Oryctolagus cuniculus: one gene and its partners. The main gene of each other region encodes a partner of the protein of the gene in region 2 in a complex. Links are inferred from orthologs where the notes say so. Each region holds a gene or a part of one and is shown on either strand. Other genes may lie near its edges.

What was found.
Region 1: TAF10 (region 2) and TAF13 share a complex: the UniProt entries of both Homo sapiens proteins name them as parts of the TFIID basal transcription factor complex. The link is inferred for Oryctolagus cuniculus from reciprocal best matches to the Homo sapiens genes TAF10 and TAF13.
Region 3: TAF10 (region 2) and TAF7 share a complex: the UniProt entries of both Homo sapiens proteins name them as parts of the TFIID basal transcription factor complex. The link is inferred for Oryctolagus cuniculus from reciprocal best matches to the Homo sapiens genes TAF10 and TAF7.

The regions. Positions count from the first base shown.
Region 1 is NC_091438.1:61,353,976-61,361,284, forward strand, and holds the start of TAF13 (transcription initiation factor TFIID subunit 13), read left to right. Parts: upstream 1-2,922; 5' UTR 2,923-3,022; coding exon 3,023-3,049; intron 3,050-3,899; coding exon 3,900-3,978; intron 3,979-7,309. UniProt on the Homo sapiens protein: The TFIID basal transcription factor complex plays a major role in the initiation of RNA polymerase II (Pol II)-dependent transcription.
Region 2 is NC_091432.1:60,278,429-60,285,225, forward strand, and holds TAF10 (transcription initiation factor TFIID subunit 10), read left to right. Parts: upstream 1-3,643; 5' UTR 3,644-3,680; coding exon 3,681-3,912; intron 3,913-4,052; coding exon 4,053-4,207; intron 4,208-4,447; coding exon 4,448-4,512; intron 4,513-4,598; coding exon 4,599-4,713; intron 4,714-4,894; coding exon 4,895-4,984; 3' UTR 4,985-5,061; downstream 5,062-6,797. Other genes in the region: TPP1 (tripeptidyl-peptidase 1), read left to right, coding at 411-531, 634-792, 973-1,098, 1,277-1,417; ILK (integrin-linked protein kinase), read right to left, coding at 5,295-5,444, 5,621-5,751, 5,864-5,963, 6,054-6,175, 6,264-6,391, 6,499-6,608, 6,749-6,797. UniProt on the Homo sapiens protein: The TFIID basal transcription factor complex plays a major role in the initiation of RNA polymerase II (Pol II)-dependent transcription.
Region 3 is NC_091437.1:28,857,059-28,864,234, forward strand, and holds TAF7 (transcription initiation factor TFIID subunit 7), read right to left. Parts: upstream 4,436-7,176; coding exon 3,386-4,435; 3' UTR 2,913-3,385; downstream 1-2,912. UniProt on the Homo sapiens protein: The TFIID basal transcription factor complex plays a major role in the initiation of RNA polymerase II (Pol II)-dependent transcription.

The DNA of each region.
Region 1 (7,309 bases), on a different chromosome or scaffold from region 2:
GGCAGGTGGAGGGGTTCTTTCTCTCCATACCTTCATCCATACCTTCAATAACCTCTCCTCGTCATATTAATTTTCTTATTTTCTTTCTTTCTTTCTTTTCTTTTTTTTTTTTTTTTTGTTGACATAGTTAGACAGTGAGAGAGACAGAGAGAAAGGTCTCCCATGCGGGTGCAGGACCCAAGCACTTGGGCCAACCTCTACTGCCTTCCCAGGCCACAGCAGAGAGCAGGACTGGAAGAGGAGCAACCGGGACAGAATCCGGCGCCCCAATCAGGACTAGAACCCGGGGATTAGCCAAGTGAGCCGCGGCGCTGGCCTTTCTCTTTTTAAGATTCATAAACTTACCTGAAAGGCAGAATTACAGAGAGAGAGAGAGAGAGAAAGAGAGAGAGAAAAGCTTCCATCCACTGGTTCATTCTCCAAGTAGCTGTAACAGCCACTTGCTAGGTCAGGCCAAAGCCAGGAGCCAGGAACTCCAACTGGTCTCCCACATGAGTGGCAGGGCTCAGGCACTTTGGCCATCTTCCACTGCTTTCCCAGAGAGCTGGATTTGAAGTGGAGTAACTGGGACTCAAACTAGTGCTCCAATGTGGGATGCCACATTGCAGGTGATGGGTTAACCTGTTGTGCCACAATGCCGGCCCCCAAGCCACTAGGTTTTGGGGTAATTTGTTGCACAGTAATAACTGATTACCTATCTACCCACATAATTAAGAACATATACAGGGGCTGGTGCTGCAGCGAAACGGGTTAAGCCACTGCATGCAGTGCGGGCATCTCATATGGGTGCTGCTCTACTTCCCATCTAGCTCCCTTCTAGTGTGCCTGGGAAAGCAGTGGAAGATGGCCCAAATGCTTCGGCCCCTGCATCCACATAGGAAACTCAGAATAAGCTCCTGGTTCCTGGCTTTGGAGTGAACCAACAGATGGAAAATCTCTCTATCTCTCCTCTTTTTCTCTGTGACTCGGATTTTCAAATAAATAAATAAATAAATAAATCTTTTTTTTTTTTCTTTTAAAGGTAGGGCTAGAGAAAGAGAGAGAGACAAAGTGCTGGTTCACCCTCTAAATAGCCACAACAACCAGAGCTGAGTCATTCTGAGGCCATGAGCCAGGAGCTTCTTCTGGGTCTCCCACACCGGTGCAGGACCCAAACACTTGGGCCCTACGTCATTGCCTTTCCAAGCTGTAAGCAGAGAGCTGGATTGGAAAAGGAGCAGCTGGACATGAACCAGCGCCCATATGGGATTCTGGTGCCACAGACGGAGGCTTAGCCTACTGGCTAAGTGCCTGCCCAATCAAATTAAATCTTAAAAAAAAAAAAAAAATACAAGGTTGGTTCTGGTGCTGTGGCATAGTGGGTAAAGTTACCTCCTTGCAGTGCAGGCATCTCATATAGGCTCCCAGTTGCTGCACTTCCGAACCAACTCCTTGCTAATGTGCCTGGGAAAACAGCAGATGGCCCAAGTGCTTGGGCCCCTGCACCCATTTGGGAGATCCAGAAGCAGCTCCTGGCTCCTGGCTTCAGATTGGCTCAGCTCCTGCCATTGCGGCCATTTGGGGAAACCTCTCTCTCTCTTTCTCTGCCTTTCAAATAAATAAATAAATCTTTAAAAAATACAATGTGGCAAAATGCTGAAAATTGTTAAATCCTGAAACTAAAATGAGAACTTATCAAAAAATGCCCAAATAAGAAATAAATATAAAAGAATCTATTAATATGTTTTTTTTATTTTTTTTATTTTATTTATTTATTTTTTTGACAGGCAGAGTGGACAGTGAGAGAGAGAGACAGAGAGAAAGGTCTTCCTTTGCCGTTGGTTCACCCTCCAATGGCCGCCGCGGCCGGCGCGCTGCGACCGGCGCACCGCACCGGTCCGATGGCAGGAGCCAGGAGCCAGGTGCTTTTCCTGGTCTCCCATGGGGTGCAGGGCCCAAGCACCTGGGCCATCCTCCACTGCACTCCCTGGCCACAGCAGAGAGCTGGCCTGGAAGAGGGGCAACCGGGACAGAATCCGGCGCCCCGACCGGGACTAGAACCCGGTGTGCCGGCGCCGCAAGGCGGAGGATTAGCCTAGTGAGCCGCGGCGCCGGCCTATTAATATGTTTTTAACACGTAAATTCTCAGGCATGACAACACAGGAGGTATAATAACAATGTGGTTGCTTGTACCTAGATGTAAATTTACCTCGAATGTAGGAACTACAAATGTAGGCAGATTCCAGGTGAGCACTATTTAAATTACAAGCGATATTGCCTTTGGTGGCAGTATTTCCTCTTAATAAGTTCCAAACAAAGCAAAATGCAACAGATCACCAATTTTGAAGAAGTAACAGTCACAGGAAATCCAATGTTCATTAAAAGCATGGGAAAAATAGTTTATATAAAATAATATTTTCAGTCATTGAATGTTCAGCAGGACATAGAGAAATCGTGTGTATTATTGGACTTTTTTATCGTGTGGCATCATCCCTTAGGTTGCAGGATATTTTATGTCAACTCCAGCCTCTTACTGCGTGTTCTCATTGTTAAAACCCAAATTCTTCTCCAGAAAATTTTAAATCGTCTCTAAGGATAGCGCCCCCTTGAGAACTAGTAGTGAAATATAGTACCCCACAATAATTAACAAAGTGCTTGGGATCAATAGTGCAGGCGTAACTCATTGCACTTTAAAATACACCCCTCAGAGCAAGACCGCGGGATCGCCCTCCTACGCTCCAGGTCAGGAAAGGTGGATTCAACACGCACAAGGAGATGTAGGGTGATAAGAGGATACACACTGCCTGGTGCATTTCTTTCAGTTTGCTAAATTTTAGTTCCTTCCTCGGGATTACAGAACCCAGAGCTCACGCTGCTACCCTACAGACCGTCTCTCTCAGCGGTCGCTAGGCAGCTCCCCCTCCCAGGCGTGTTTGCGGGGACCCGGCCCCGCCCCCTACGTCACCGGAAGTGACGCAACGGAAGTAGTAAAAACCCGCTGAGAGCGAGCCGGCGCGGCACAGTAGGTTGTCGGGCTAGTGTAATGGCAGATGAGGAAGAAGATCCCACCGTGAGTGACCGCCTTTGTCCCAATCCTCCCTTTCGCTCAGGCTTAGTGACGGAAGCAGAGTTCAGAATGGGGTGTTTTCCTTAGTGAATTCAGTCGAGAGAGTTCGGGGACCAGTTGTGCTTGTCTTTTCCTTCAGCTTCATGGTTTTAGTACTCCGGGGCAGGACGTGAAGTAGTGGGAAGGTAGCCCCTTTCCCTTCGGATTCGGGCTGAATCTGCTAGACACTTTGTGAAACTAGACGATCGTCAGAGCTAATCACTCGTATTTGTTGGTGCTCGTTAAATGAACCAACAATCTAGCTGCTAACAGAATTGGATATTTATTGTGAAGTGTTGGAGAAATAACGGACCACAAATCAGAAGCCTGGATTTCAAAATCTCCATTCTCACCGAACAAGTTATTTAACTTTCAGCATCGGTTGTTCTTGATATAAAATAAGGTTAAAACAGATAAGGAAAGGTTTTAGCACTGTATAAGCAGGTGCTTAGTTAAAATTTTTCCTTTTTTGCTGCAGGGAGGTAGGCTTTGATTCAGTATCGGTCCTTGAATGGCAACACTGGCTAGCAGTAGACCAACTTAGTTGGTTTTAAACAAAAAGAACTTGCGGCTGTTAAAAGGCTTACGTGTCTAGGCAGGATTGTTGTGGACAGTGTAGAAACCATTTTTGCGGGAATTGAAATTTTGACTAGGTAGTCTCTAAGGGCTCTTTAGTGCTAAGTTATCATGATTTTTTAGTGCTTGCTTTTAAGCGTTTTGGCCTGATATTAGTGTTAAAAATGAAAGCAAGTTATTAAAATATCAAATGCAATGCAATCACTTGACATTTCTATATATACATTTTAACTTCTAGTTTGAGGAAGAAAATGAAGAAATTGGAGGAGGTGCAGAAGGTGGACAGGGTAAAAGAAAGAGACTCTTTTCTAAAGAATGTAAGTAGTATTTGACAGTGATTTTATTATAGATCATGCAAACTTTTGGACATGTCCTTTGGAATAGATTTATATTCTGAAAATGTTTGCAAGGATAATATTCTCAAAATTGCCAGTAAAGTTCAATTTAATTTTTGCCTTTTTTTAAAAGATTTATTTTTATTTTATTTGAAAGAGTTACAGAGTGAGGCAGAGTCAGAGAGAGAGGTAGGTCTTCCATCCTGTGGTTCACTCCCCAGATGGCCGCAATGGCTGGAGCTGTGCCGATCCGAAGCCAGGAGCCAGGAGCTTCTTCCATGCGGGTGCAGGGGCCCAAGGACTTGTGCCATCTTCTACTACTTTCCCAGGCCATAGCAGAGAGCTGGATCGGAAGAGGAGCAGCCAGGACTAGAACCGGTGCCCATATGGGATGCCAGCGCTTCAGGCCTGAGCTTTAACCTGCTGCGCCACAGCACCAGCCCCTCAGTTTAATTTTTGAATCACAGATACTAACCCCAGTTTAACGTATAATTGTGTTTTAAATTGTACAGAATTTAAGTGAGGGAATATTGTTATGTCTTTCTGTTAGGCTGTCACAAAAACACACCAAACTCCGGAGTAAGGGAAAGGGTTTATTGAGAAAAGCCAGCAGACCGGAAGGGTGAGGTGATGAAGGGAAAAAGGGAGAGGAGAGTATAAGAGAAAGAGACACGGAGAGTAGAGGAGCTAGTGAGGAGAGAAGAGAGACGAGAGGAGCCAAGAGAACAGGAGAGAAGAGCCAAGAGTGCCGCCTGTTCAGGAACAGGCCCTTTTAAACTTTGCCAGAGGGCGGGCAGGGAAACAGGAGCAGCGAATCCCGTTAGGATGGGGGTGGAGCTTGACACTGGTGGTTGGGCCATGTGGCTACATGGCTTTCAGCAATGGCTGTGAGAACCGGGGCATAGGATGTAAATCATGGTGTAGATAGCGCCATGGATAAAACTGCACCAGTTTCCTAACAAATATGATCAGTGTTTCAATTCAGGACAAAACAATATACCTCCACGTTTTCCTGGCCCTTACCTTTGCAACAGTAGAAGCAGGAGTTCTTTTGACTGTGGGCACTGAAACAGGTGCTGAGGGTAGGGGCTAAGTTGAGACTTTGGACTAAGGGCAGTGAACAGGGCAGGAAGGTGAGGAACAATGTGAGACATACAATGGCATGAAGATAATATAATGTGTTAGTGCTTTGTCCCACTCCCTCAGTAGACAGATTTTACCCTTTTTAGACAGCAGCATGAAGAAAGGAGATCTGTTCCTACTGCTGATAGTCCAGGACAACATTTAAAAGTCATCATGAGAATAGCTTTTTATCTCCCAGTACGGATTCCTTTATATCTATATAGCTGGGTATTGAGAGATGAGACAACACAGATTTAAGAATACCTGTTTATTAAGGTTGGGACAGATACGAGCAGTTTACATGTGATGTTAAAACTGCACATCAGTATGTCTTTTTTATTTGAAATTTATTTGAAAGGCAGAGTGACAGAAAAAGACAGAGATCTTCCATCTGATGGTTCGCTCATGCCCACAACAGCTGAGGCTTGGCTAGGCCAGGCGGATGCCAGTTGCCCAGAATGCCATTTGGGTCTCTTACATGGGTGGCAGTGGCCACAGTACCTGAGCCATCACCTGCTGCCTTCCAGAATCACAGCAGCAGGAAGCTGGATTCGAAGTAGAGTAGATGGGAGTCAAACAAGCACTCTGATGTGGAATGTCAGCCAAGGGTTGTGGGTGTCCCAAACTGGGCCCAACCTGCCACGCCACAATACCCACACCATGTTTTTTTTTTTTTTTTTTAACATTTATTTGAAATGCTGGGTTAGAGAGAGAGAGAATCTTCCATCCACTGGTTAACTCCCCAAATGGCCAGAACAGCTGGAACTGGCAGGTCTGAAGCCAGGAGCCTAGAAATTCTTTTGGGTCTCCCACATGGTTGTGGGGGCCCAAGCATTTGGATCGTCTTTCTTTACTTTCCCAGGTCATTAGCAGGGAGCTGGATTGGAAGTGGAGCAACCGAGTCTCGAACTGGTGCCCATATGGGATGGTGGCACTGCAAGCAGTGGTTTAACCTACTGTGCCATAGTGCCAGTCTACCGCCATATTTCTTTTTAATTGTAACCTTTTTCTGTATCTCACCTAAAGCTGAACATTGCTTATCCCATCTCTCTGATAATATTTATTACATTTGTATTACATTTTACTTACTTTACCAACGTAAGAAAGAGATCACTACTCCAGAGTATCTCGAAGTGATGCTTGCACAGTTGGTTATTAGCAAAGACCTTTGTTATACTTGGATTACTTTATCTTTATGATGACAAGAATTTGGAATTTTCATACTCTTCTCCATGTCTTATGAGTCTTCATATATCTTACTGAGATCTGTTTGCCACCAGAGGTGGGAAATGTCCAGGTGTGTGACATCTTTTGGTGTGGCCTGGCCAAGACAACCACAGGCAGGACTCAAAATTCAATCTACCTATATATAAAGATTCAGCAAATTGTAGCAGGCTAATTTCTAAGTTGATAGTTTTTATGGCCTGCAAATGATGTTATAAATATCCAAATGGCTCTTCACAGAGAAAAGATTCCGCACTCCTCTTTTTAAAGAAAATAATTTTTAAAGTGAGATTTATTTACTTATTTATTTGAAAGTCAGAATGACAAAGAGAGAAAGAACCAGCATCTGCTGGTTCACTCTTCAAATGGCAGCAACAGACAGGTCTGCCCCAGACCAAATCCAGGAGCCACGAATTCCATCCTGGTGTCCCACGTGGTTGGCAGGAACCCAAGTATATGGGCCATCTTTGCTGTCTTCCCATGTGCATTAGCAGGATGCTGGATTGGAAGTGAAATAGCCGGGACTCAAACCAGCACCCTGATCTAGGATGCTGGCATTACAAGTGGTGCCTTAACCCACTGTACCACATACTGATCCCAGGAAAAAAAGATTATTTTTAATTTATTTTTCATTTTTATTTGAAAGGCAGAGAGATAGAGATCATCAGTCAGCTTAAACACTGTCCAAATGCCTGCAACAGCTAGGGTGGGCTGGAAGCTTGGAATTTTATCCTGGTCTCCTGTCTGGTTGTCATGTACTCCAGTACTTGAGCTGTCACTTGCTGCCTCCTGGGATATACATTAGCAGGAAACTGGACTGGAACCAAACATTCTAATATGGGACGCAGGCATCCCAAGTGGTTTCTTGAAGTGTTATACCAACCGCTTGCCCTGAGGAAAAAAAAATTTTTAAAGATTTTTTTTATCTATTTGAAAAGCAGAGTTACACAGAGAGATCTTCCATCCG
Region 2 (6,797 bases):
TCCATTGCTTGGTACCTCCTTCTAAAAGAGCTCCTTATAACCCACTAAGGAATCATTACTCTAGCTCTCAAAATGTGGGGCTAGAGAGGTAGACCTTTCTCAAAGGGACTTGGATCCTAGGCCCCAAGTCTCCTGGGTGGGACACAGCTCCCAGTGTTCCTCTTCCTCAGTCACCATACATTTTGGTAAAAGATTTGGTGAGTATTGTATAGACCGAAGTGTGTATAATCAGCTCAGGCCATGCCTTGAGGGCTGAAAACCTCTCATGCAACACAATGCATTTGCTTTCCTGAGTGTCTAGTGTCTCCAGGAAGATCCAGGCTGTACTCATCCCTCCTCATACATCTTGGTCCTCCTCTTGGAGGTCCTCTTGGGTCCCCTTCAATACGAATGCTGTCTTCTGCCCTCAGCCCCTATGTCACCACAGTGGGAGGCACATCTTTCCAGAATCCTTTCCGCGTCACAAATGAGATTGTTGACTATATCAGTGGCGGTGGCTTCAGCAATGTGTTTCCACGGCCTTCATACCAGGTACAAGCATGTTTGTGTGGATGGGTGGGGGAGGGAAGTGCCTCAGTTCAGCAGACTGCTGAGCAAGTCACAGGTCGGTGCTCATTCAGCAATGCCTTTCAGGAAGAAGCCGTAACCCAGTTCCTGAACTCGAGCCCCCACCTGCCACCACAGAGTTACTTCAATTCCAGTGGCCGTGCCTACCCAGATGTAGCTGCACTTTCTGATGGCTACTGGGTGGTCAGCAACAGAGTGCCCATTCCGTGGGTGTCTGGAACTTCGGTGAGAATCAGCCTAGCTCCGAACGCTCACTCAGGGACTACCCCCACGTCCTAAACAAAACTTTGCAGCCAGAACTCCTGACTTCTCAGAGACCTCTGATCCTTTCACATACCACCCCCCAACCTTCAAAGTCCACCCACTCTGAACCCCTGACCTGTACTTGTACCTTCTCCTCTTCAGGCCTCTACTCCAGTGTTTGGGGGACTGCTATCCTTGATAAATGAGCACAGACTCCTCAGCGGTCGTCCTCCTCTTGGCTTTCTCAACCCAAGGCTCTACCAGCAGCATGGGGCAGGACTCTTTGATGTAAGTGTGAAAGAGAGGGTGTGGATGTTTTCATACGAGTATGGGGAGTGCTAAAATGAACTTGGGGGGAATTCTGATAGGGTAAGATAGCCTCTGGGATGTGAACACAGGATGATAAGATAGAGTTTGTTAGTACTGCTATCAGCAAGCCCAGATCTGATGCTCACCTCTTTCCTAGGTAACCCATGGCTGCCATGAGTCCTGTCTGAATGAAGAGGTGGAGGGTCAGGGTTTCTGCTCTGGCCCTGGCTGGGATCCTGTGACAGGCTGGGGAACACCCAACTTCCCAGCTCTACTGAAGGCATTGCTCAACCCTTGACCCTTTCCTGTCCCGAGAGCTGTCCTCTCTCCTGCCCTACAGCTAGTGGCTCCATCCCTTATTCTGCCCTGTTGGAAGTTCTGTTGAACCCTCAGTTGTTGAGTGCTTCAGCTTATCTCCCTAACCCTGAAATGCTGTGAGCTTTACTTGACTCCCAACCCTACCCTTATCTGTCATACTCAGGTGTCTCTACTCTTGCCTCAAGTTCTCAACAGGATGCTATAACCAGTGTTTTTGTGGCTGCCTCCTCTCTTCCTCTCTTTAACCAGGCCTTTCCGAAGGGTTCTCTACATTGACTGTGTATGCTATTTTACTTCTTCACTTGTCCCAATTCATGGCATGGGACCTCTGCTCTCCCCTTTTACTCTTTCCTCCCCTGATAAGAAACAGTGGCCTCCCTGCTACTTCATCCAGTACACACTTGCCAATCTTTGCTTTATACCTTTCCATCATAGCTGCCCATTCTCCTTTCTACCCTAGCATCCTGGGCTTAACTTATTGTCTGATTATCCCTCTCTTCCTCCATGGAATTCTCTTTTTCTGCTTTCTCATAGAATATTAGAGTTGTTCATTGCTCCTTTCTTAATCATTTGCTTTTCTTACTCATTGTCCCATGGAACAAATCAATGGCATCTACAGCAATCACTATCTCACTAAATCAGACTTTCTATACAGTTGTGATGGATACCTCAAATACAAGATGTGTGATACTCAATACTTATCTCACTCCATCTCAACCCCAAAATATTCGACCTATTATTTGTCTTTGGTAAACAACATTATGTCTCTTCCAACCAAGCCTGAAATCTGTGCCATCCTTGACTCCTCTATTTCCTTCACCTATCACCATATTCAATCAACATCCCTACAGATTTTGCCTCTTAAAAAAAAAAGTGTTTATCAATTTACAATGCATTCCAACTATATTTAAATATATTTAGAACTTACCCATTCTCTCTTTTCCCAGTGCTACCATATTAGCTTTGAACCATATTCTCTCTCTTCTGAATATGCAGGAGGCCCTTGCAAAAATAGTGTCCATGCTTCCTACCCAGCCTTAATACATTTTCCAAAGTAAAATGTAAACCTCCTCAGGCCATTTACTTGATTAAAATCCTTCAAAATTACTGGATAAAGTTCAGGCTTGGTTCACAAACCTTTTCTGCTATTTGCTCCTGAGTAACAAAATCATTTTTCCTTCCCTTAAGGAACTCGCCCTAGTTGAAGCCACCCCTGATAGAAATGCCTGGTTAATTTCCAGGATTCTTTACAGACTCAGCTCTAAAGTCATCTCATTGAAGGTTTAGATTCCCAGAAGCTAACTGATTTTTGTGTAGCATAAAAATCCTAGATTTTTGTAACCAAACCTGAGTGAACCTTGGTTGCAATACAAATGAGAACCTTGAGCAAAAGAGTTTATCGCCTTGAGCCCATTTCCTCATTACCTGTCTTTCATAACAATCAGGGAATAATTCAGTGGAATAATGCCGACGGAGCGCTTGGCACCTGGAAGTAGGCAGCAATTGTTCCCTTCCTCCATTGCACTGCACGCACTGCCTACCTCTAGCATCGTTAACGCCCATATGGTATTGAAATTGCCAGTTTACCTCCTTTTCCAAGACCACTGGTGCCTACAGAACTAGAATTTTGTCCTACTTAACTTTGTATTCCCAGTCAAGAGTGGCTCAAGAGTTGGCAAATACGAATTAAATAAATGTTTGCGGAATGGGAAACCTCATGCTTTCGCTTGATGTGATTTTGTTTCCTTAGGCTGAAATACTCTCCTCTCCATCTACAGCATCACTGAATGCGGCACTCTCCCTTGCAGGCAGTTGGCTTGGGAGGGGGCTTTCCAACGCCACTCTGAACCTTTAAAAGGTTGAATAAGGAAACCAGGAAAATGCGGACTGGCAGACTAGGGGTGCCGGGCCGATGAGCCCCAAATCAAGGTCTTGGAACGTCCGATTGAATGAGGAGTCCTCGACCCGTAATTAGAGCCCGGGACCCACAAGTGCGGAGTCGACTGGGAGCACCGCGGGGTGGAGGGTGGAATGGCGACCGCGTAGTTCTCCCGGATTGGTCTCCGCCCCCTTGCCTCCTCGCCTAACCCGCCGTGAGGCAAAGAAAGGAGGCGGGAAGCCGCAGGGACCGAGCAAATATTGACAGGCGGGGCGAGTCGGGGAGCGCGTGACGTCACTCTGGGGTGTGCGTAACGTGAGCGGAAGCGGAAGCGGCTCTGTTCGCCGCCTCTCCCACCAGCCCGATGAGCTGCAGCGGCTCCGGCGCGGACCCCGAGGCGGCGCCGGCCTCCGCCGCCTCGGCCCCGGGCCCGGCACCCCCGGTCTCGGCTCCCGCCGCGCTGCCCACCAGCACCGCCGCGGAGAACAAGGCCAGCCCCGCGGGGACAGCAGGGGGGCCTGGGGCTGGAGCCGCGGCCGGGGGCGCGGGACCCGTGGCGGCGCGGGCTGGGGAGCCCACCGAACGGCGCGGGGCGGGTGAGGGCCGGGACGGGTGAGGGTGAGGGAAGAGCCTTGGACGGGGCTTCGCGGCGGGTGAGGGTTGAGGGTACAAGGCAGATCTGCCTGGGACCCTGCGCCTGTCACCTCCGTGTCTCAGTTTGCTGGTTCTCCTCCAGCTCCGGTGTCGGCGGGCGGCGCGGCACCCCCGGAGGGGGCGATGTCTAACGGGGTTTACGTACTACCGAGCGCGGCCAACGGAGACGTGAAGCCCGTGGTGTCTAGCACGCCTCTGGTGGACTTCTTGATGCAGCTGGAGGACTATACGCCTACGGTGGGCTTCCCGCCTGAACAAGGCCATCTGGCCCGCATCCACGCCAACTTACAGCCACACCTCCGTGCTTTCCAGCGTCATCTTACATTTGCTCCCCTACTAGCTCTTGTGATTTAGTCCCTCCGCCCACCCAAACTGTGAGCTTCTTGATAGCCAGGCCTATCCTCTCTCCCTCACCCTCCTCCCACAGCCCAGCAGGGAGCAGGACTAATGCTGACAGTTGTCTCATTGATTTCTCAGATCCCAGACGCAGTGACTGGTTACTACTTGAACCGTGCTGGCTTTGAGGCCTCAGACCCACGCATGTGAGTAAACCCAGGGTAGGCTAGAGCTTTGAGTGCTTCTGCAGGTTGTTGTCCACCTCCTTCTCATACCAGTTTTTTCTCTCTAGAATTCGGCTCATCTCCCTAGCTGCCCAGAAATTCATCTCAGATATTGCCAACGATGCCCTACAGCACTGCAAAATGAAGGGCACAGCCTCTGGCAGCTCCCGGAGCAAGAGCAAGGTGTGAGGGGAGGCTCACTTAACCAGTAATTACCCTCCACAGCAGCGGAGGCTTAACTTATCCTGAGAGCCCTGTGGGGAAACTAAGTCCCAGGGGAGGTGTAAGGCTACTCAGGATCACCCACCTGGGACTTCAATCTCGGATTCCTGTGCTCAGCTGGTACTCTTCCCTCTTCCCTCAGGACCGCAAGTACACTCTAACCATGGAGGACTTGACCCCTGCCCTCAGCGAGTATGGCATCAATGTGAAGAAGCCGCACTACTTCACCTGAGCCACGCAACCTAAATGTACTTCTCTATCCCCATGTCCCCACACCAGCCTGTTTTCGTAATAAACTTTATTGTGACAGGCGGGGCTGATCCCTCCCATTCTGGGAGACACCGTGTGGCAAGTGACAAAGCTCTGAGCCCAGCCCCTTTTGGGGCCACAGTGGTAGGGATGGGGGCAGAGGATGGGCCCCATGGCTGGGGTAGTACCATGACTGGAGGCAGGGGAGGCAACCAGAGGCCTACTGCTTTGGGGAGTTACACTCCCCCAACCATGTCCTGACACCTTGGAGTTTCAGCAAGGACCTTGCAGTTCTATTTGTCCTGCATCTTCTCCAGGATAGGCACAATCATGTCAAATTTGGGTCGCTTAGCAGGGTCTTCATTCATGCAGATCTTCATGAGCTTGCACACATGGGGGGAAATACCTGGTGGGATGGTGGGCCGAAGGCCTTCCAGTGCCACCTGCGAATACAAGGAAAATTAAGATGAGCTTCAGAATTTGAGTGTGTCATACAGGAAGAGACCTCTGACCCTTGGGACAGGATTATGTATCTGAACAACTGTGGGTAGAGCTACAATTATTGTCACCACACCCATCTTTTCTGCCCCAACAGAAGGGTATGCACATCTGCTCTCACCTTCATTCCAATCTCCATATTGGAGAGGTCAGCAAAAGGTACCTCTCTTGTCACCAGTTCCCACAGAAGCACTGCAAAACTCCACATGTCTGCTGAGCGTCTGTTTGTGTCTTCAGGCTTCTTCTGCAAAGCTGGAGAGATAGGGCTTATTTGTTCCAGCTGCCTAGCCTGTCCTGTCTCTGCCTTCTTCCACTGCTACTCAGCTGGTCATTCTCTACCTCCCAATGCAATGCCCTCACCCACCTTCAGGGGCTACCCAGGCAGGTGCATACATGCGTCCAGGGCATTGGAAAGAGAACTTGACATCGGCCATGCTGATCCGGGCAGTCATGTCCTCATCAATCTGGAGAAGATAGGTATGTGGAAGGTGAGTCCTATTCTAGGTAGGCAAAGGGCTATTGGGCCTGGGCCAGGAGTGAACTTGTGGCCTCACCATTACACTACGGCTATTGAGTGCATGTCGTGGGATGAGGGGCTCTAGTGTGTGTAGGAATGCCATGCCCCTTGCCATGTCCAAAGCAAACTTCACAGCTTGGCTCTGGTCCACGACAAAATCTAAGAAGAGACAAGAGTCAAATCACTTGGAGAGGCTCATGTACCATTCCTCATCCCTATCCCAGTGAAACTCAGCATCCCTACTCACTGGTGCCTTCATGTAGTACATTGTAGAGGGATCCATATGGCATCCAGTGCGTAATGAGGGTTGGGTGAGGAGCAGGTGGAGACTGGCAGGCTCCTAGCACTGGGAGAACATTTGGATGCGAGAAAATCCTGGGAGAGGGAGAGAGTGTGGCTGAGAGCTAGTATAGAAGTCATCCCCCTCAGTGCTATTGAAGGTTCTTTGGAACCAGTAGCTTGCAGTTTAGGCCTTGCCCCACCTGAGCCGAGGACACTCCTCATTGAAGTCTCTGCTCTTCCTTGTACTCCAGTCTCGAACCTTCAGCACCTTCACCACGATGTCATTGCCCTGCCAGCGGCCCTTCCACAACTGAAGGACAGGTAGGGATTAGGAGGCTTTAATTAAGGCTGCACGTCTTTGCCCACTAACTGGAGGGAAACTTACAACAGGTGTAAAGCAGGTAACTTGAGTGCAATTAAAGAGAAAAGGGCAAGAAAGGCAGAGGTCACCTCTCCTGAATGATTCTCGTTGAGCTTCGCCAGAAAGTTGAGCTGTTTG
Region 3 (7,176 bases), on a different chromosome or scaffold from region 2:
TTTGTTTGGACAGTATTTGTAGAATGAATAAGAGCGTGAAGTACAGAGTACAAGGAAAACCATAATAGGGTTGCTTAATCAAGAAAGCCTTGCTAGGGTGACATTTAGGTTGAAACATAAATTAAGAAGGACTCTCAAAGGAAAACCTCCTAGGTAGAGGGAACAGCTTGTTAAAAATCTCTAGGCCCAGAAGAAAAATAAACTCAAAGAAATGTCCAACAGGCTTGGGATATATTAACCATTAGTGTTGGGAAATGATGAACTGCATCACTCATAATCTTATGTATCACATAATCTTGTGAATCACCTTTTTCAGAAATATAAACTTAATCCTGAGGTTTGTGAGTATCACTTAAGAATTCTAAGACATGATTAGATCACTGGTGGCAGTCAAAAAAATTACATTGTAAAGAACAAGGTTTACACATGGGGCCAGCATTGTGGCACAGCAGACTATGCCACCACCTGCAACAGTGGCATCTCACGTGGGCACCGGTTTGAGTCCTGGCTGCTCTATTTATGATCCTGCTCCCTGCTAATGTGCCTGGGAAAACAGCAGAAGCAGCAGAAGATGGTGCACTTGGGCCCCTGTACTCATGTTGGACAGGCTCCTGGCTTCTGCCTGGCCTGGGTCTGGTTGTTGTGACCATTTGGGGAGTGAACCAGTAAATGGAAGATCTGTCTCTTCCCTCTCTATAGCTCTTTCAAATAAAAAGATTTTTTTAAATGTTTATTTATACACACCAGTTAGGAAGCTACCATCACTTGCCAGGCAAGGTAACAGTGGCTTGCATTAGGACAGTGGGGTGCAGATGAAGTAGTAATTGAAGTTTTTTTGGAAGTAGAAATCGTAAGTGGTTAAGTGAAGGGAGAAATCAAAGAGTTATGGCTCAAGTTTTAGCTTCAGGAGTTGAAGATGTAGTACCATTTATTTTCACAGAAACTCAGAAGGAAAAGCAAGTTTCTTGAGAGAGGAAGTGTTCTATTTTGTCGAGTTTCCTGAAGGATGTTTCAAGTGTGCTTCCAGTACAGAGGTGAATAATAAACCTGCTCTCTTCTGAGCCTCAAATATAATTAATGGAGACCTCAGATTCAGCACAGAGCTAATAATTAAAAAAGTAATAATGGGGGCAGCAGGCTGTTTTGTTAGAGTATCTACCATACTTCTTTTCCATTGCTGAGGGAACTCAGCTATCTTTGATGCTGAGATCTTGATTAAATTATTTGAGAGGCTGACACTGTGGCATAGCTGGTTAGTGCCCATGCTGCTCCACTTCCAAACAGCTCACCGTTAATGTCCTCGGAAAAGCAGAAGATGGCCCAAGTGTTTGGGCCCCTGGCACCCACTTGGGAGATCTGGACACGTTTCTGGCTTCAGCCTGGCCCAGCCCTGGCTGTTGCAGCCAATTATGGAGTCAATCAGCAGATGGAGGATCTCTGTCTCTCCCCTTAGATCTGTAACTCTTTCAAATAAGTAAATAACTCTTAAAAAAAAAACTTGGCAAGTGTTCTACTGTAAAACCCAGCATGGGGGGAGCTGTTCAGGTATCACTGCAGTCATATGTACTAAAACAGGAGAATCTGTTACCAACACCCAAACACATTGAGGAAATTTGCTTTGTATTACCAAATGTCAAAAAATAATCCAAATTCCAGACACTGAGGGAAACCTTGCTTAACCCTACAAGTTCCACACTAAAACCTCCCAAGTTCTGAAAATGTTTTTGTAAATTAAAAATGATCTTGTAGGGGAAAAAGTTACCCTTGTGAAGTCTCAAAGTCTCAGCATTCATTTTACTTTGGTTCTAATTAGTTTTAACATGTTTCCTATCAAACAGAAATTTTAAATGGGCTTGAAATGTTTACTTCATGAGGCTAGTATTTTAAAACCAAACCATTTTTTAGGCAAGTAAAGCTGTCAAAAGTGAATTGCATATAACACTGCATTTCATAAATTTTATCACTGATTTTCAAGAACAGATCAAGTGTAAAGCATTAAATTATCTTTAAGGGCATGGGAAGTTTAAGAGAGTATGAAAACTGTTAAAAGAAATTTTGTAATGCCAGACTATGGTACTGACTTCCTTAAGGATTTCAGTGAAATGAAGTGGCTAAATCACTTATCAGGATATTAAATAACTGTGGAATTAAAATAAAAATAATTGGAAACATAATCTAATCCAAACCAGTGCTGTGGTTCATTGGACTTCACTTGATAGCCATTGTTTTTATTCCCAATATTTTCTGCAGGTAAAAACAGTGCTTTTAAAAAAGGGTAAAGCAGCCGGCGCCGTGGCTCAATAGGCTAATCCTCCACCTTGCGGCGCCGGCACACCGGGTTCTAGTCCCGGTTGGGGCGCCGGATTCTGTCCCGGTTGCCCCTCTTCCAGGCCAGCTCTCTGCTATGGCCAGGGAGTGCAGTGGAGGATGGCCCAGGTGCTTGGGCCCTGCACCCCATGGGAGACCAGGAAAAGCACCTGGCTCCTGGCTCCTGCCAGGATCAGCGCGGTGCGCCGGCTGCAGCGGCGGCCATTGGAGGGTGAACCAACGGCAAAGGAAGACCTTTCTCTCTCTCTCTCTCTCTCTCACTGTCCACTCTGCCTGTCAAAAAAAAAAAAAAAAAAAAAAGGGTAAAGCAGGCCTTCATCTACAAATACTAGAGTAGTTTAGAATGGCTCTGTATCTCATGTTTTCCAGCCTCCTGATGGAGCAGGTGGATTAGAACCTTAATAGAATGCAAAGATGACATTTCCCAATTTCTGCTATGTTCCTTTTTTTTTTTTTTTTTAACCCACAACTGCTTCTTTACCTGCAAAGCAGGACCAAACTGACCAATCATTAAACTCTACCGAGAAACCACCTCAAAAGATTATCTGACTCCTATTACCAATGAAAAAATCAAGACACATAAGTTGAAAATTAGTCGCTTTTATTTATGTTAGAAACCTTATGAAATTATTTGCATCTCTACATGTGTGAAACTGCTTTGATTTAACTGAGAAAATAGTTAGGGAAACATATGCAAACCAACTTCATTGCCTCTACACTAGGTTCTTACCTATCTCAGAAGGCACCACATGGCAGCAATAGCAGCTTCCGGGAAATGGGGAAACAGCAGCAAAGTCCTGCAATGCAGCTGTGAATATTAGGGTTCAGCTGTTCATTCCACTAACCCTACAACTTCCTAACAATTACATTACTGCCTAGTCAATCCTAATTCTATAGAATGAACACCTAGCAAAGTGCTTCTTGAAAACAAGATAATTTAAAAAGAACTTCTAGCATTAGAAGGAACGGGAACTACTGCAAAATCTTAAAATCCAGAAAAAGTGATGAAGATTTTCTTAGTGTGGAACCATCAGGTTCAAAATGATCAAAATTCTTCTTACTTCTCTAGGAGTGACTCCAGCTCTTCCTGCAAAGAGCTGAGCTGCTCCTTTTCTCGGTCTTCCTTTTGTTTTAACTCATCCAGCACAGCCTGAAATCTGTTCTTGAGAGCCAGGTTTTCCACCTTCATGATGAGATCCTCCTGTCGCTTGGCCCTGTCCTGGGTCTCCTGGAGCTTGCCTTTCATGTTGTCAATCTGCTTCTGAATGCCCATAACCAGCTGGTTGGTCCCTTCGTTTTCTTGGTGCTGTTCATCTGACTCATTCAGCTTGTCCTGCAGCTGTCTCTCCAGGTCTTCCTCAGTGTCGATGATGTTTATATCTTCTTCGTCCTGGTGCTGGGTGTCATCTTCATCCTCGCTGCTGCTGCTGAGGTCATTGAATATCTCCCGAAGCTCATCGTGCTCCAGGGAGTCCTGGCCCTGCCTGTGGCCAGACATTCCTGGGGAAGAGATGTCAAGGCCTTGATTCTCCGTCTCTTTTGTTTCATCTTCAGCAATTATCTCCCAGCGAGTACTGACAGCTTCCGCATCTGTACTCAGCAACCGCTTCACTTCTTTCTCCACGTCTGGAGACTCAATATACTTTTTCTTTGCTGTCTTCCGGAATCTTCTCTTTCTGACATTCTTTAGAGGCAGAGTAATTCCATGGTTCCAGACGAACTTTTTCTCTTTGTCCTTATCCTTTTTCTTGCTTGCTTTGGGGTCAGCAGCAGCAACTGGCTCCTCCACAGGGGGATAAAGATCACCATCAACTGTGGACACGAGCATCTGACAGATATCAGCAGTCTTGTAAAAGGTTTTTTTATCGATGGTTTTCAAGCTTTCCATAACACACGGCAGATCCACCAGTTTTGAGGCCAGAGGGACCCGGTCCACTCTGACAATTCCATGACGCCCATCGGGGTGTAACTCGATGGTCAGTCTGTCTTTCAGGTTGACATGCCCCGACTGCACTGCCCTCCTCACAGTAGCAGCATATTCTGGAGGCAGGCGCAAGATAAACTGGCTCTCCAGCTCATGAGGGGCATCATCTTTGCTCTTACTCATCTTCACTTCTTTCTGACTCCCTTCTCCTAATAAACACTTGCTGCACTGAAAAGTTTCAGCTACTGCAACAATTTAAAAGACCAGTTCCTTATGAATTAAAATCTAACAACAGAAGGTTCTATGCAGAACAGTAGCTAAGCATCTGTTTTGTCTTAATTTTTAATCAAGCCACAAATCTTTTCTCTAAATATGCTGCACTCCACACCCGCTGTTTGTTACCGACACACTGGCTTATTCAGAGAATTAAGTCCATTTAAAGCCTGGAGCTGCAATGCCGAGTTCCAGCCTCTAGGTGCCGCCTCCAGACAATGCAGACAGAGCAAGCGGGCGAGCGAGCGAGCAGGAAAGCAAATGGCGGCTCCTGCAGAATGAAGACGGCACAAAATTAGGACAAGCAGTCAACACCGACCCAAACCCTCCCGAAACAAGCATAACTGAAAAAGCGGGACGCAGCGAGCTGCCTTTGCCTCGGGTACTTACAATCCAGTGACGGTTATAAATTCAGCTTCGCGCCGGGCGCAGGCGGCGGGGGGAGGAAGCCACTCGCTGCAAAGCGGCGGGGAGCCTCTTCTCTCGCCGACTCCTTTGTTCTTCCTGCTGCTCAGCTGAGTGATCCGCTACTGATTACCAATGCTTCGGTCCCGGCGGGAAGCGCGAAATTTCGCCGAGACGCGCTGCGCAGAGCCACACACCGGAGGCTCCGCAGGCGTCTGCCTGCAGCCGCTTGCAGAGCTGGCTTTAAAGCCGCGCTGCGTCACGGCGCGGGGCGGGAAGCGGCCGTGAGTGACAGCACGGCCGGGCGGAAAGACGGCCCGCCCCGAGCGCGCGCAGACGCAGTCGCGGCGCTGCGATTCCGGCCGGGACTCGTTCTCTGGATCCAGGGGAATTGTTTTAGGGCGTGAAAATGAAGTTTCCTGCCGACCTAGTTTGAAAATAAGAGATAACGATTGCAGGAAGGTCACAGAGCCTCCCCCTGCTGAGACAGCATTTGTACCGGACCGGCAAGCGCCGAGATAGCGTCTAGACTTCGGGGGTCAGGGCATGTTTGCAGAAAGCGTTTTGCTTCGGGAAACGTCTCGCGTGTTCCCCAGGAGTTACCCATTCTGGTGTCGGTGCAGGAATTTGTAACTAACCACAAAGTGGATTTAAAAGTTCCCAAATCAATGGCGTAAGGAGAGCATGCTGTCCACTGTGTGGTTCTGTGTGTATTTTAATTATGAAAGTGCCCGGAGGGGGACCGTGCTTCTGGGTTTATTTCTGCTTGGGAGCTCTCCAGGGGGCCAGGGGTGATTTCTCATTGGCGTAGTTGGCATAGATAGAAATGTAAGCAGGTTTCTCTGTAGCTCGGCCTCTCAAATAAATCTTTAAACAGAATAGACAGGTCCTTAGGACCTGTGGACAGATGCTGTGGCTAAAGTAGAATGTGTAAATGAGGAATTTTTACTGCCTGGAACGTACCAGTAATTTTTAAATTACTTTGGAATTTTTTTCCACTCCATCTACTGTTTTGCTGTATTCTGCTTATCTCGTATGTGGATTCTCAGGGATTCTTCACCGCATATTCGTGGTTCTTTGGCACAGCTGTAACAGCTTCCACTTATTTTTGTTCTTTTCCATTTATTTTTTAGTAGGATCCGTTTGGTAGAGCATCAAGGTCATTTAACCTACGCCCTCTAAAATATTAACAACAAATTAAATTTAAGAGAACTCCCAGAAAGTGATTAACATTTCTAGAATTTGCATTATTTCTTTGTGTACTTGTTGATTGTCCTCCTTACACCAGATTATATCCCAGGGCCTAGTACCAGAATATTGGAGACACACAAAAATAATTCGATAATTGAATGAAACAGTTGACTCATCTAGAAATAACATAGTCTTAAAAATATAGTAATTTGCTGGAGAAAATAAATTCTATGTCACTTAAAGCGAGTTTGAGTCACTTTATAGTACATTCATTCCCTTTCTAGTCAAGGATGGCAGCAGTTGTTACAGTGTTTTTACCAATAGAGGGTGTGAGTGTGGTGCAAACGAACTGTGAAACCGTGAGGAAATGAAAGTGAGCTGGCACAGGTTTGCTTTTTTGGTTCATTTTAAAGAGAAAGTATGTCCTTCCGTGTAACCACATTATTTCTGTCCCATAATATGCTGAAGAATGTTGGCTGATTCATCAGTAATTTCCAGGATAATCTATTTCCTGTTTTTTGAAGATGATATTTTTAGTCGGCCTTTGATTTTACCTGCTTTTACTTATTTTATAAATTTAAGCATTTATTCTCTGCATAGTGCTCTATTTAGCCATATAAGACCATGCTCATATATGAAAATAATCCAAATATTACTTTGTATTTTAATTCTCCATGTGTTTCATGATGCTCAAATATACTTGTATAGAAGGTAATTTGACATGAATTGTATGCAATTCTGATTTGCCAGAAGACTGTTTTAATTAGCAGACCTCTAAATGGAAGATTATCAGAGATAACTGAAAGGATTGATACCAGTTTTCCCAAAGTACTACCTACTACAATCTTGAAACATATTGTTTGCTTTTGAATTTAACACATTTTCCAGTTATTGGTTTTTCACTTGGGGATATGGGTTATACTGATTCTACAACTGAAATCTTTGCTATATCACCAGTTGTGATTGTTTTCAAATTCATTAGACATACAGAAAAACTCTAAATTAGTGAAAGAGTTTTACCCCTGTGGATGTTCTGTAGAGTATCTGTAATAGGA